2 linked regions of the Sus scrofa genome follow. The protein of the gene in region 1 interacts with the protein of each later gene in a pairwise test. Links are inferred from orthologs where the notes say so. Each region holds a gene or a part of one and is shown on either strand. Other genes may lie near its edges.

What was found.
Region 2: the proteins of EDC3 (region 1) and ANXA10 interact in binary tests that used the Homo sapiens proteins (3 or more experiments, as listed by UniProt). The link is inferred for Sus scrofa from reciprocal best matches to the Homo sapiens genes EDC3 and ANXA10.

The regions. Positions count from the first base shown.
Region 1 is NC_010449.5:58,827,455-58,831,744, reverse strand, and holds the start of EDC3 (enhancer of mRNA-decapping protein 3), read right to left. Parts: upstream 3,053-4,290; 5' UTR 2,886-3,052; intron 1-2,885. UniProt on the Homo sapiens protein: Binds single-stranded RNA. Involved in the process of mRNA degradation and in the positive regulation of mRNA decapping. May play a role in spermiogenesis and oogenesis.
Region 2 is NC_010456.5:21,263,173-21,266,989, forward strand, and holds part of ANXA10 (annexin A10), read right to left. Parts: intron 2,767-3,817; coding exon 2,653-2,766; intron 1,221-2,652; coding exon 1,130-1,220; intron 1,015-1,129; coding exon 935-1,014; intron 1-934.

The sequences.
Region 1 (4,290 bases):
AGGAAAAAAAAAGTGATAGAAAATCAGATAGACCTATTCCAAGTAAAGAAAGTGAATTAGTAATTTAAAATCTTCCCCCAGAGGACTTTACCACTGATAATCTCTATCAAACAGAGAAAGAAAGAAATAACAATTCTACACAAACTCTTTCAGAAAACAGAAGAGGAACATTTCCCAACTCATTGTATGAGGGTACTTTTACTCTGATACTAAGGTGAGCCAGAGACAACATAAGGAAATATTAGACCAATATCCCTCATGAATGTGGGTAAAAAATTCTTATCAAAAGATGAGCAAACTGAATTTGGCAACATATACATACAAAGTATTCTACATCATGACTCAATGGGATTCATTCTAGGAACACAGATTGGCTTAACATCTGAAAATCAAGTATTATATATAATACACCATTCATACATATCCCTACCTTAAGAGTTTTTTATTTTATTTTTATTTTTATTTTTTTTTGTCTTTTTGCCATTTCTTGGGCTGCTTCCACGGCATATGGAGGTTCCCAGGCTAGGGGTCTAATCGGAGCTGTAGCTGCCGGCCTACGCCAGAGCCACAGCAACACGGGATCCAAGCCCCATTTGCAACCTACACCACAGCTCAGAGCAACTCCGTATCCTTAACCCACTGAGCAAGGGCAGGGACCGAACCCGCAACCTCATGGTTCCTAGTTGGATTCGTTAACCACTGCGCCACGACGGGAACTCCATGAGTTTTTTAATATAAAAAAGGTTATTTGCATTTTTTTTTGTCCTTTTTTGCCTTTTCTAGGGCCGCTCCCACGGCATATGGAGGTTCCCAGGCTAGGGGTCTAATCAGACCCGTAGCCTCTGGCCTACGCCAGAGCCATAGCAACGTGGGATCCGAGCCGCGTCTGTGACCCACACCACAGCTCATGGTAACGCCGGATCCTTAACCCACTGAGCAAGGCCAGGGATCAAACCCGCAACCTCATGGCTCCTAGTCAGATTCGTTAACCACTGCGCCATGACGGGAACTCCTATTTGCATATTTTTAAAACACCAAATGTCTATTATAGGTGGGAAATTCTATTTTTAAAAAGCCAATATTTACTACCTGTGAGAAATTACAACATAAATTATTTAAAATTAAATATTTATCTACTTAAATTTATGATGACCCTCCCATTTCATTAAACTACACTGGGCAAATCTTGAGATTAACCAGCTAATACTTTCTCTCTTCACGTCAAAAAGGCAACAAATTTGATAAGCACACCCTCCAGATAAGGCTTCAAATACACACTGTGTATAAAGAGAGTGAAAGAGCCTCAATGCCAATCACCAAAATCCCAGCTGTAAGTTGTGTAAATCAAATCCCTCCAGACACAGATGCTTAGAGACATGACTTCATCTATTTATCACAATCTGGCAAATACCCCATCTCACCCACCAGGTCATTGTAAAAGACTTAAATGCCTTGCCAAAATTCTGACACACTATCACTATGGATACTGTGCTCCTTTGGGACACCAAATATGGATGTTCTGTCCTGTTGTTCTGGCTGAAGAATTCTAGCAACCCTGATCCTGTGGTTAAGAACAGAAAAATGATACACTTTTTCACCTTGCATTAGAGAATCTCAGGAATCACAAAGATCTTAAACATTTTCTAGCCCAATGTGTTTCAAACTACAGGTCTTTAGCAGGCAGATTCATTAGCTGTCAGAGTCAATTTAGTGGCTACAATCAACTTTTTTTTATTTTAATGAAATAGAAAATGTCAGAGGGCATCATATGTAGAAAGAGTAAACTTTTGTTTGTGTGTACACACTCTATGCATGAGGGGATCACAGAGAGTCACTATGTAAAATACATTAACTGTGGATCACAGGTGAAAAAAGTTTGAGAGACACTATGCTAGTCCCATAGCCCTACAGCCTCAGGAAAGCTCCACTCAAAAATTCTCAGCAGTCAAAAAGTTATGTTCTTTGTATTTGTAACCATATCCACTTCACACAGAGAAAACAAAAAAGTATCAATTTTGTGCTCAATATACTTAATCTTCCATTCATAATAAAGACTAGAATCCACCTGAGGTTTCCAGCTGAAATAGTAACCTGTCAGAGACATTTGTTTTGATGAGATTAAGACCTGTATTTGACAGACCACAGACAACTGAATTTAGTCTGTGGCTAGGAAAGAGAACAAAAACCACTCAAGGCCTCGAGTTCTTCATCTGTAACCACAAGAGAGGACTGTTAGGGCTCCTAGCTCTGGAACTAGATTTATTGACAACCACCTGGCCAAGCAAGTGAGGACCACGCCTCCCACACGCCAAATGAACCATTCAACAAGTCAATTGCTGACCAAATCAACCAATATCACACAAAGAGCACAAATTCAAACTTATAGCAACAGCAATAAAAAAAAAAAAAAAAAAAAAAAAACAAGGGAAAGTCCCTAGGATTCAGCAGAAGCTGTGCCCTGAGCCAACTATCATTACTTTCTCAGCCACCCTTCTCTCTCAGACCCCAGTTCACTTCTGTCTTCCAGCTATGTGGCACTCGCGCTCTTCCCTGCCACCCGACCCCACTGTGCAAAAGAAAACTGAGGCACGGAGCACTAAGTGGACGGGCTGCAGCAGCCATCAACAAGACTAAACTAAGAGCATAGGCCACTAATGGCTCACACCTCCCACAATTCCTCGACTATTCTGAATCCCGCTCCCCTCCGACTCTCACCTCAAACCACATCCCCAAAGCAAGCCTTAGTAATGGGCCCCCAGCTCGTGCTCGCCTCTATAAAGGTCCAAGGCCTAGAACCACGAAACCTAAAAGCAAACCCTCCTGGCAACCCCGGAAGCCTCCTCCCACGAGCGCCCAAGAGCCACCCGCCTCCCCTTCGCTCCCACCTCCACGCCGCCGGGCCTACGCCTCCTCCGCACACCACACGGAGCCGGCTCCGAAGCACTCGAAGACCTGAGACGGATAGGCTCCTCCACCCACCTACACAGCCCGGGCCGCGGCCGCCTCCGCCGCCGGAAGCGCCCAGCGTCTCACCATCGTCCTTAGGTCACTTCCGGCGCGACGCCTCGGATACCGAAGAGCTGGCTGTTGAGGGGCGGGGCTCCCGGGAAATTTGAGAGTTTGAGAGAACCTGGCCTCCGGCAGCTCTGAGGCTTTCCGGAATCGTTCCTGCGAGCCCATTTTGCGTGCCCCACTTCTGTCAAGTGGATTCTGTTTTCGAGTAGAGGGTCTCCCGCACTCGGGGCATATGAAAGTTCCCAGGCCAGGGATCAATACCAGCCACAGCTGTGACCTAGCCACAGCTGCTGCAATGGATCCTTAACCCGCTGCGCCCCTATGGGAAGTCCATCTTGCTTAGCGTGTTGTGTATGTGTTTTACTGCCACACCTTCTGCCTATGGAAGTTCCTAGGCTAGGGGTCCAATCGGAGCTGTAGCTGCTGGCCTAAGCCACAGCCACAGCAACACCAGATCCGAGTGGGTGTCTGTCTGCGACCTACATCACAGCCCAGGGCAACGTAAGATCCTTAACCCTCCTTAACCCACTGAGCGAGGCCAGGAATCAAACCCGCTTACTCATGGGTACTGGTCGGGTTCCTTATCGCCGAGCCACAAGGGGAACTCCTATCTTTCTTATCCTTTTTTTTTTTTTTTTTTTTTTTTGTCTTTTGTTGTTGTTGTTGTTGCTCTTTCTTGGGCCGCTCCCGCGGCATATGGAGGTTCCCAGGCTAGGGGTTGAATCGGAGCTGTAGCTGCCGGCCTACGCCAGAGCCACAGCAATGCGGGATCCGAGCCGCGTCTGCCACCTACACCACAGCTCACGGCAACGCCGAATCGTTAACCCACTGAGCAAGGGCAGGGACCGAACCCGCAACCTCATGGTTCCTAGTCGGATTCGTTAACCACTGCGCCACGACGGGAACTCCCTTTTTGCTATTTCTTGGGCCGCTCCCGCGGCATATGGAGGTTCCCAGGCTAGGGGTCGAATCAGAACTGTAGCCACCAGCCTATGCCAGAGACAGCAACGCGGGATCCGAGCCGTGTCTGCAACCCACACCACAGCTCAGGGCAACGCCGGATCCTTAACCCACTGAGCGAGGGCAGGGACCGAACCCACAACCGCATGGTTCCTAGTCGGATTCGTTAACCACTGAGCCACGACGGGAATTCCTATCTTTCTTAGTCTTAATTAAAAACTCCTCCAGTTCCTCTTACGCTAATAGCTGGGCAGAAGACTTAGGGGCGGGGCTTGCGCCTAGTGACAGGGACCTCATCTTTGATCATTTTCAGCT
Region 2 (3,817 bases), on another chromosome or scaffold:
AGGTGATTACCCTCCTAATTTGAAAGTTTTAATTTATCTTATGACATTAAAATTAGAGAATATTCAATTGACATGTTGCCAAGTAAGATTATTTTTAATATTAATAATGATTATTAAAATCTTTTTTCCTATAATGACTCCAACTTCTGTTACAAATCTAAATAAGCTTATTTCTACAGCAGTTTACACAGAGGTCTCAAACTGAACTGTGTAAAACCAAACTATCTGCTTTCCACTGATGTTAAAACCCAGTGACTAGAAGCCTCAGAAAAGGGCTTGATTCCAGCTATGGGCAGGTTTATGAGCAATGCAGACACACCATGCTAATCCAGACTAAACCACATCAAACCCAAGTCAAAAATAAGGCAAATTCTTGGTTTTCTTTTTACAAATAGAAATCTGTGATTTTTAATTTTGTTTCCTATACCACTTGGCAGATGATGAACATGTGTCTGATTGATATGATCCATAGAAACTCAAGGAGAAATGGAATTAGAGAAATAAAGAGATGATAAAAAGGAGAAACTAGGTTTTATTTTTAATAAGTCAGATTCTCCTAAGTCATAAGTCTTATACGTTTGTCTGTGATTCTGACTGTTCACCTACAGTGTGGGGTCCTGGGTTCTTGGGGCCTTAGGTGATATTTTTCACGCTATTAATTGTAACTATAATACTTTTACTCTGTTTACTCCATCATACTGTATAATTATCTATGCACTTATCTATAACGTAATCATTTTACTTATAGGAGATGGTTTTGAGGGCAGAGATGTCTGTATATCCAACCCATGCTTCGACAATTTAGCTGGAATACAGTCATTGTTATTGTACAGAATTTACTGTTAAACTGGAGTTTTTCTGTCCTGTTTTTTGAAAATGAAACATCCCTATTTTTTTCACAGTGCAAGATGGTGTGAATTTTGGAATTTCATACCTGGACCAAGTTCACAAGCATGTCTCTGAAGTGCCCTGAGGTCTCCGCATAAATGTCCTCTTGAAGATCACGGCTGTATTCTGGGTAAGAGAATGACCACCTTGAGGGACAGTTTATTACAGAGCCACGTATAGAGAACCATTCCAATAAGTTACTGCCACTTCCCCATCACAAGTAGAAAGTGTATTTCCTTACGCAAATAGTAAGCTTCTCGCATCTGGAAAATTTCTCCGTTTGTTCTTGAAGCTAATATATCAATGAGGCAGTTCTCATCAGTGCCTGCTCCCTAGACAGACAGAGCAAGAAGAACATCAGGGCATCTGTGTGGGATAACAGCAGATGTTATCTGTGTAGCCTCCCGGTGTTCTGAGAGGTGGCAGAGGGCATGAAGTGTGTTTGGGATAAAGGCAGCCCCATTCAGTCTGGCTCTGCTATTTACTAGTTGTTTGGCCCCAAAGGTAATATTATCTGAAAGTCTGTTCCTTCATGGAATAAAGCAGCATGGGCATTTCTAAATGATGGGGGAAAGATGTTTAAACCATACTCACAATGCTAATTTTTTTTTTTTCTGCCAGAATATCCATTCTTGGGCAAACTGAAATTTGATCTTGGTCTCTAATCTGCCAAAGATCGTTCAGAGACCTCTCCCTGCCTCTGCCCAGATGTGGAATTTTGTACCACTTGCCTAAACATCTGGACAGGGTGCTTTCGTTGGTTTTCTTACAGTCATAGGCATGTAGTCTTCTCTGATGGTGATTTTTTAAAGACAACACATCTTTTTAAGAACGCTTCAGAAATCCTTACTCTTCTATGAGACGTTGATAAAATAGAATGGTTTCATCTAAACAGTAAATTAAGACTCTCTCCTGATAGTTTTGCAAGAGGTAGGAGCTGACATAGGCAACTTTTTAGTTGATATTCCTATGACTTTTATACAGTGCCTATTCTAAGCTACAAATATGCTGGCCCAAATCCAGCTTCCCTACTTTTTTTCCCTTTCCTTTTTTCTCCTCACACATTGTTCCCAGACTGTGGTAATCTGGTCCTTGGCAGGCATCGTACTGGAATGGTTTTGGCAGCTCTGCAGGTGTTTAATATCAGCGTTTGGAAAGATGTGAAAAGCCATTTGTCCCCCATCCCTGGCAGCAAACCTCAAACAAATCTGGAGACCGTTTATCTCATGGAAATGACTTTTCTATAAGAAAGAATTGTTCTAATCCTTCAGAGGTAAAATGTTGCTACATTTGAGCAATAGCGTTTGTAAAGAACTAGCTTGGGGTCACAAAAATAGACTAAGATGTCATCTGTATTTAGTCTCAGACTCAGTAATACTCTTTACTTGATGAGCCCAATGCATACAATAATTTAAAGAGAGTCACCCGTGTGTAATATTTCTCCTCATCTGTGAAGATGCCCTGGGGAGAGGAAACTCAAATAGCCCTGGAAATTTATTTACTCTTCCTTCAGGCAGCTTGGCACAGAGCTGGGTCAGGTGGCACAGAGCTGGGTCCGGGGGTCTGAGTTCACACAAGAACTGGATGATCCTGGGGCTGGGCTCTGGAGCCCCCCTTTCCTGACACCCCTAACCCCACACTGCAGCATTTCCTTTGTCTCCTCTTTGCTCAGATGCCCCCTCCCTCCCCCATCACAGAGCAGGGCCTGCTCCAGCGAAACTCTGGCTGCACCTGTTCAGGTACATTTCCATATCTGACCTCTACCTTCATGGCGTGCCAGAGCTCGTGAGCGTCGTACGAAGGCGGCGGGTACATGAGGCCAACCATGACATCTTTGAAGTGATCTGAAAGCTTCTCCTTCAGGTCACTGACCAGGTCCTGTGGAGGGAAAAGCAAATCTTTTCATGACATTGCTTAGCAATTTTGCGAGAGAAATGGGATCATCACAGAAAGACGTCTAGTAGGATGTCCTTCTCTACGTCATTTCACATAATGACTGGTCTGGGTTGGGTCCACACTTGTATACATGGATGATGTGAGATGACAGATTTAAGGTTCTGAAAATGACCCATGTGCTCACATCTCTGCCTGAGACGTCACCTGTATGGACTGTGGTCATATGAACACAGACCAATAACCCTTCCCCAGTCCCAGCATGACCCTCTCCTGACTGAATTATAGAAATAAGTACAAGTGGAAACCTGAAAGCATTTCAGCTGGGAATGCCTAGTTTTCCTGTATAGACTTAATAAAACATTAGTTTTGAAAGAAAATATGCATTTAAAAAATTTCATCACTGTAGCAATGTCTTTTAGCAGAGTCCCTAGATCCACTGATGCCAAAAAGTTCTTATAAATGTAATCAAGTAGTCTTAGAACTTTCTTCAAATAGTCACGTTAACACATTTACTGAACATATTGGAAGTTAAATGCTTAAAAAGAAAAACAAGCAGGCTGGATTTTTGTCCATGAATACAGATATAAAAGCATCAAATTGATCATTTTAATTTGACTTTCACTTTACCTGTATTGAGGAGAGGTTTAAAAATATATATGCTAAATTTATTATTTGTAGTATTACAAAGATATCTGAAAGATGGTTAAAATTGACCATTTCTTCCTAAAGTGCATAGTGTATATTCAGTTTAATTTAAAAACATGCAGTCTTTTAGTTCTGAGGTAGTTCAATAATATTCAAGATGGCATAATAACCTTTATGACAATAAAAACAAAATCATCATAATTTTCCTTTTATTCAGCATAATCTGACAGCCTTTCCTATACTGTGGTTTTCCTTTTTTAGCAAATAGAAGCATTCACCCAAAAGGTGATAATTGGTAACATGGAGAATCTACTGAATTTTTGCCAGGGTCAATGCAGTTTGTTTAATGAGCAGTTAACAGGTGTCTGGAGTTGTGATCAGTGCTGGA